2 linked regions of the Oreochromis niloticus genome follow. The protein of the gene in region 2 purifies or fractionates together with the protein of the main gene of each other region. This does not show direct contact. Links are inferred from orthologs where the notes say so. Each region holds a gene or a part of one and is shown on either strand. Other genes may lie near its edges.

Region 1 (3,753 bases), on a different chromosome or scaffold from region 2:
CAGGAACTGAACCCTGAACACAAAGTGCAGTGTGTGAATGTGCCACCTGACAGTGTTTCAGAACTTCGAACGTTATATTGGACCAGTGAAGTAATTTCATTTTTGCAGGAAATGGGCTCATGTCTTAACAAAAAATGATTAAAAGCAATAAGGGATGTGGTGAAGAATGGTATCAAATGGAAGAACCAACAGCACACAAATGATTTTTGACTGCTGTGTAACGTTGATTGTATGCTTGCTAAAGTCTGGCAAAAGTGCATATTCCACCCAGAGACCAACATTTCTCCTCCATGTATTTTCACTAAAAATGATCATTCCTATATATGTGCAAATATTTAATTTGACTGTCATTAGTCCCACAAATACGTTCTTATTTTTATTGTGCACACTACTTTTCTCAATATTTTATTTTATTTTCAGCAAAAATAGAAACATTTCATTTACACTATAAAATGTACTTTTTGTTTAAATGTTTGTTAGCACTATTATTGACAGTCCAACACATTCCCTGTGTGCTTTGTTGTTTTAATACGTTTTAAGTGAACACATAAAAATAAATAAATAAATAAAAATGACCAATCCTCACTTCTCTGTTTACTTTATCTGATATCCAGCCTTGCTAGATGTACTTTATAATGGTGCTTTAGTGCTGGGATGCCCAACTATGTTTATCCCTCAACCATGAAAGGCATTGTCATCACCCTGCTGGGCAGGCAATAAGGATACCCAACATTTTGAATGTGATAACTTTAGAATGAAGCAATGTAGGAGTTTCAAATTGATACCTTAAGTGTATCTACTAAAAATCTCTGAGTTTGAATCTCAGTTTTCAGAAAATATTGTGAATGCAATAACTGAGAACAAAGATAGGATGTTGAAATTGACATCATAGGTACAGCTGCTAGGAGGATTGGGGGGGGGGGGCCACTGACTGCTCCGAGTATTTTTATATTATTAAAATGGCCATTCTACAACTTTGTCCTATCAAAGTTTGTGATGCACAATTTATAATTTATGGCAGGGGTTAAAACTCAATTTAGTTCAGTGATCATGTACAGTCCAGCTGATCTGCTACCTAAGTGAGCCAGGCCAGTAATACATAACAACCTGTATCAAAAAAGCCCATCTTAAATACTGTCAATAAACATGAACTTGGTGTCTATCTCTTTAAAGACGATTTAAACCATATGCTCCTCCCTCGCCACTCGTCATCATCTCTCGCCGCTTGTGCTCCTGCAGTACGAAAACAAGCGCAGCCGCAGGTAAGTTTGCGGATTCTTCCGCTGAGCGGCACGGTGTTCAGATGCGCTGGTTTGGTTTCGGCTTCAATGCCTTTGGACAGATACGTGTCCAGGAAAAGTCAGGCAGAGGAGAAAGTAGCAGCGCGCTCCACCAAGTTAAAGTAACTCACCCAGCAGAGCTCAGCAGTCACGTGGATAAAAGTGGATGCTGCTTGAAGACAAGTCAGATCAGAGTGAGCTGGAGTCGAAGAGCATCTTTACATTTAGATGGTGAGTGTATCAAAGACATCGCTCTGAGTTCTGAGGAATAACATGTCTTTAATACATCTATTGCTTTAGCTTAGCTCTTACGTTGTTGTTTTCTGTTTCTGTCAGGAGACAGCTGCCTGAGCCTGGCAGGCTTTGGGGAATCGGTCTCCAGTGAGGACTGTGGTATTTCTAAAATAGAGAGCTATGGTTGTAAAGATGTATTCATCAGTGAATCGCACTTGACCCTGGCCTTCCCAGACAGGATTGAGACCTGGGATCTGCAGAAGAGGGAGAAGAGTCCATCATGGAGCATGGATATAAAAACCCACGCAGAGGGCTCTGGTAATGTGTATGCTAATATCTTATCTGGCTAGACAGACATTAATAATGATGTATGAAATTACAGAGTCTCAATATTACTTTTTATTTATTTTTTGTAGATGTGAATTTGCCATTGGTCCCTGGGGGTTACATTGCCTTAAAGCCTCCCCTCTACTGCACCTTACCAGGACACCTGAAAGCCAGGAGCCTAGCACTGGGTGCAGAGCATGCCGTTCTTCTTACTGCCACTGGAGCAGTGTACAGCTGGGGACTGGGCAGGTGGAGCCACTTACACATATATCTTTATTGAACATATGAGAAGCAGCAGTTTCATGCATAAACAACAATCAACAAACAAACGAACAAGCATAAGTTAATCTTCCTATGCGTGCATGTGTTTATGTAACAGCCATGGTCAGCTGGGGCATGGAGTGCTCACCTCTGAGGAGGAGCCCAGAGTAGTGGAGGCACTCTGGGGGATGTCCATGACCCGTGTGGCTACAGGAGGCTGGCACTCAGCTTGCATTAGTGGTAAATGTCAAATAAAGATTTGGACAAGTTACACTCGGTTTGAAAAGGATTTGAAGAGGATCGTTTTTGTTCTTAGATGGGGGTGACCTTTATGTGTGGGGCTGGAATGAGAGCGGCCAGCTTGGACTTCCTTCCCGAGGTCTGAGGAAATCTCAGCAGAAAAGTAGTCAGCAAACAGGTCTGTCCTGAAATGTGCACTGCTTTAAAGAGTTATATTGAAGAGGCAGTTTTTACATCCATTTTGAACCACTGACTTTATCAAACAGGAGAATTGTGCTATGATACCAGTACACCAGCTGATGAAAAGCTAAAGGAGGAAGAGGAGCATGAAGATGTATTCATATCAATCCAGGCGTTCCCTGCTCTGCTGGATGTCTCTCCTTCATGTGAAATCCAAACAGTAAGCTGTGGTTCCCGCCACACAGCTGCAGTAACAAGTAAGGAATGTCTTTTGGCAGTTGTTTTACAGGGATGCACATTTCCTAGCAAATAAACTAATTATGTCACAATTTCTTCTTTTCAGCCACTGGTGACCTCTATACTTGGGGATGGGGTGAGTTTTGGTTTTAGAAACGTGTTACATCTAAGTGAAATTCTCACAGCAGCATCATTCAAATCAAAGTGAATGCCGAGATTTTAGGCTTCTTTGCCTTTATTACCTTTCCAGGGGAATACGGCCAGCTTGGACATCAAACCGTAACTAGTTCAGATGAGCCGCAGCGTGTGGAGTTTTTCAGGGCTGAGCAGATGCGTGTGCTTGATGTGGTGTGCGGGACATGGAACACATTTGCTGCAGCTGTAAAGGAGGAAGTAGCTTGTGCTGAAAATAGCACAAAATGCACTTGTTAAGCACAGTGAACTTTGGACGACAGTTGTAAATTTCTCCTACAAACACAAAGAATTAACTAAATTTATTTGTTCATTTTTTTTCTCTATAAAAACTCAACTCAATACTTTTTGGTGAAACTTTTATTTTTTCTTCAAACAGATGTTTAAAAAGGGTTTATATTTGACAAATGACATAAAACAGTTAAGGCAGCAAAATCCACAGGTAAATATAATTTAAGGCAAGTAATTAAAACTGTTCTGATTTAAAATTATACACTAAAATTAAAAAGGTGCATGCATCTCCAAGGTCCACTGGAAGTCTTCAGAGCACAATCTTGAAGGAACTGTGGATAAATCAAATGAGAATCAATTGGACACTTATAAATGCAAATAATTATTGGTATTTGGAGCAGCTGGATTTCTAGTTACCTGACAAAATCTGGTGACCTTGAAATGACGTGCTGAAACTCTGAGAGGTTCACAGTTCCGTCCTTGTCGATGTCTGACTCTTCAAGAATCTAAACAACATGCAGACACGGGAAAGAAACACATTGTTAGGCTTACTGACACATCAGTATACCAC
Region 2 (3,753 bases):
GTGTTTGTTGAAAGCAGGCCAATGGTCGATGATTCCTTCTAAAATCACCGGTTTGAGGGGGAGCAGGTAGTTTGTTTTGAAACTTTCCAGTGAAGGACACCTTATCCTGGGAACCGCCAACTCTTCTTTGATTGCAGAGACAAGCGGGCTTTCAATCTTTATTCTCTGAAAATGATTTCAAAATGAAAAAAAAAAAAAAAAGTCAATTCAACCTTTAGAGGAAAACGATAAGAAAAACAAGTCCTTGATTATATCTCACAGATGTGAGTAAACAACTATCAATTAAGTCTTCTCTGGGTTCCAGCTTATACTGATTTCAGTGTTCTTTTGTACTGTAAGTGTGGCAGGCAATTTAATCATAGTATGACTTTAAGCTTCTGGGAAATGTGTTGCTACTTTCTACAGTTTCCTTGACCTGATTAACCAAGAACAAATTAAAGAAAATTTCTAAATACTTGTTAGTTGCAGCCCCACTCCCCACTGTGCAGCTCGTGACAGATGGGTAGAATATTTCAACAGCTTTTTTAAGATGATAGCTTTTAAAGGGGGAAAAAAAAGCAAGAAAAATCCTGCCAGCCCTGCGCTAAACTCTCCATCTCTATTTAGATGGTGTCTAAACAAAGTGACCTGACATTTGAAAAGTTGCTGCACTTAATCTTCAGTGACATCTGATGGAGTGCAACAAAATGAAGGTCACAGAGGAATTTCTTTTCTAAGCGTCCAGAAGATTTACTCTGAAATGTCCCCATCAGTCACTATTACTTCGAACAATGAATCAGGTTAAATGAAATGTACAACAATGTTTTCTAACTAGTAGAACTTACAGTTAGTAATTACTAAATAAACTAAAGGACTGACAGAAAATTGTGCATTTCAGATGAAAGAAAAAAAATCGCTGACCTTGACCTCAGCACGTTCACTCTCATCCTCTTCTTTAGTAGAGTTCAATGTCCTTATGTGACTTTGCAGAATCCGAACAATAACCTGAAGTATATCACCCATGATGGCCGCGCCCATGATTAGACCCATGTCGCAAGTCCGAACAGCCTCCAGGATCTTGTCTTCGGACGGACTTTCACAACACAGTGCCGCCACTTTGAAGAAGCAGCCATACGAGTAAACGCGCCTCCACTCCTTGTCCACGTGCCGCCATGTTCCGGTGTTGAGCTTCTCCCATGAAATGTCCAAAATAATCTGAGCATTAAGCAACCGGCTGGAACTTGTGATGTCGCTGTACAGCTGCTTCCTGGACCGTTGCAGCATTTCCACCACACTCAGCTCCACTTTGTCACTGAATTGCAGTGGAAACTGGTCTTCATTAGCAGGCACTACTGGAGAGATTTTTGACCACAGCGATGCCATTGACGAGAAGGTCGTTATTTTTACTGTCAAATGAACAATGAAAGTGAGTCAGGGTTAACAGTGAAGTGTCAACTCAAGTTCTTATAATGAAGCACTTAGAAGTTAAATTTGCTCAGATTTAGGCTCACTTTCACCAATTCACTGACTTTTCTTTTTTTAAAGGGAAGGGATGTAATTTAATGACTCCTTATGTATTTAGCTGGTTATTGAGCCCACCAACTGTTAAAACCGCCTGCCATTGTCGCACAAATACACAGTACGCTTGTTCAGCCTCTTTGGTGCTGTGAAACAGATGTATACAACTAATTACTAAACTGGCAACAACAGAACACAGGTGAGGGCATCCTGAGCCAGAACCGGGGGGCGAGACACATGCATGAAAACAACACTTTTGCCGCATTGTTTCTGGAGCCGCCAACTCCGCCTCCATGTGACTCCATCAGCGTTTGGATGGTCTGTGTTGCTGGAGATGATGCCAAAGCAGGAGGCAGCCAACTCCGAGGGCCTGATTCATTTGAGTACAGAAATGCAGCCCTGTGAACTCAGAGGCAGACTGGACTAAACAAAGCAAGCATTTGATATGCCACATGCCTAAGCCATCCACGACCCTGGAGTGCACTCCAGCTGATTTTTACACAGTCACATGGGCTGAGAGCATGTGCAGCAAACCCAAAAATCCAATGGAAACCCCAGCGACATAGGATATTTGGGGAATTACAGTCCCTTCAGTGAGATTTCATTATGGAAGTCATCAAAGTATGAGCAAAGAGTGAACTTTATCTCATTCATTTTTTTCCTTTATGCAGCAGCGGGAGAAAGCCAATTATATTTTTCTTTAAAGCCTCGGAGATTAGACTCCCGCAGTGCAATTCACTCTATGCTCAATTTTATCCCAAAATCTCACAAGAAACAAAGATGTAACATGAACGCAAGACTGTAGCTTTAAAAACGTGGCTACTTACACATACACACAGAGAGATATATACTCCTTTAAATACAAATGTTCTTAATTTTTTGCTAATAAAGCTTGCCAGGAATTTCCCATTTAAAGCTATGACGAAACGCACTTAATACCTGAAACAGGTTTATGGACACAGAAATAGAGGACCAGACCTCATGAAAATATTTACAGTTTTCCATATTTATCCCTTTCTTCCTTCTGTCATTCTTCGTCTCTTTTCTGTTACTTGCAGTCTGTGAATTTTGCACACTTGTGAAAAACGTTTTGACGACAATGTTTCACGATGACTCGTAAACACGGAGACTTATTTAAGTTCAAATTAAATCCCTAAAATGCCACATTTACCTTTTACTAAGCCATTTACACCAATAATCCGATAATATCTGTGAAATTACGGAGCAACTCCACACACACGCCCGCGCTACTCTGACGCCTGTGGCACAACAAAAACACACCGGGAGGAAACTCGAATAGCTAAACATATTGGTTCCACGCTGCAGTGTAGATATTCAAAGCTATATATAAAAAACAGATCCCCTCAAATTAATAATGACAAAATATTGCTTTTATGGTTTATTTATTTTCAAGAACTTAAGCTTTTTCTTTTCTTTCTCAAAAGGCAGAAACTGGGATTCCCTTTGTGGTCCAGTAGATGGTGGCAGCATCTGCACTTCCTCTAACCTGTGAGGTTACAGTCCCAATGCAAAGGCAGGATGGCATTCAATTAAATGGCACTTTGCTAAGTCCTTGGACTCTGCGACCCCCCGCCCTCCCCTTCTCCAAGTCAAGCTGGCGCGCTGCACACCCCTGTTTGTTTGTCATGTGTTGCCAGTTTCCTGCCAAGCATACACACTCCCACGCATATCCTACTCCTACACGCACATTTTTGCTCACAACCTCTCAGACTACTGGCTATTTAAAACCCGTTTCTGTCTCATTTCTGTCTTTTTAGATGATTAACCAGATGCTCTGAAGCTCAGTTAAAATGAAACAGCGCTCTGGTGACAGCACCACCTCATTTACATACAATTATAAATTTGGCTTAACAGGTGAAATGACAGAGTCCAGTCAATAGACTGTCTTGCAGTGAGACCCCAGCTCTTTTGTCACATTAAATGACAGCACACAACTATTTGTTTTTCCTCCCCTTTAATTGCTCCCACTGCTCGAAACGATTTATGTAAACACAGATATTCCAAGAAGGATGATTGATATTTATCAGCTCAAGTGAAACCATATTTGGGTTTGTCTTTTTGATGTCACACAGAGATATTTGGAGGGGCAGGGCAGTTATATTGCTTTTTTAGGGGGTATGTAGCCTGAACAAGCATGATAGGAAACCTTCGGCAGGGAAGTCTAGAATCTATAAACACAGTGCACTATTATCAAATGTCAAACACTCTATGAAATTCAAATATTCTCTCAGTGCA

The links. The genes of interacting proteins can lie anywhere in the genome.
Region 1: the proteins of kdm8 (region 2) and rccd1 purify together in Homo sapiens (co-immunoprecipitation; 3 studies listed by BioGRID and IntAct, counting the BioPlex papers as one, with this or other methods). This does not show direct contact. The link is inferred for Oreochromis niloticus from reciprocal best matches to the Homo sapiens genes KDM8 and RCCD1.

Annotation. Positions count from the first base shown.
Region 1 is NC_031972.2:57,591,326-57,595,078, reverse strand, and holds rccd1 (RCC1 domain-containing protein 1), read left to right. Parts: upstream 1-1,191; 5' UTR 1,192-1,303; coding exon 1,304-1,511; intron 1,512-1,616; coding exon 1,617-1,832; intron 1,833-1,930; coding exon 1,931-2,090; intron 2,091-2,220; coding exon 2,221-2,342; intron 2,343-2,418; coding exon 2,419-2,520; intron 2,521-2,608; coding exon 2,609-2,779; intron 2,780-2,865; coding exon 2,866-2,895; intron 2,896-3,009; coding exon 3,010-3,191; 3' UTR 3,192-3,492; coding exon of another isoform or gene 3,493-3,514; 3' UTR 3,515-3,517; downstream 3,518-3,753. Other genes in the region: unc45a (protein unc-45 homolog A), read left to right, coding at 1-17; cib1 (calcium and integrin-binding protein 1), read right to left, coding at 3,493-3,514, 3,600-3,688. UniProt on the Homo sapiens protein: Plays a role in transcriptional repression of satellite repeats, possibly by regulating H3K36 methylation levels in centromeric regions together with KDM8.
Region 2 is NC_031969.2:25,122,283-25,126,035, reverse strand, and holds the start of kdm8 (lysine-specific demethylase 8), read right to left. Parts: upstream 2,780-3,753; 5' UTR 2,503-2,779; coding exon 2,493-2,502; exon of another isoform or gene 2,437-2,492; intron 2,405-2,436; exon of another isoform or gene 2,329-2,404; coding exon of another isoform or gene 2,325-2,328; intron 1,386-2,324; coding exon 901-1,385; intron 166-900; coding exon 1-165. UniProt on the Homo sapiens protein: Bifunctional enzyme that acts both as an endopeptidase and 2-oxoglutarate-dependent monooxygenase.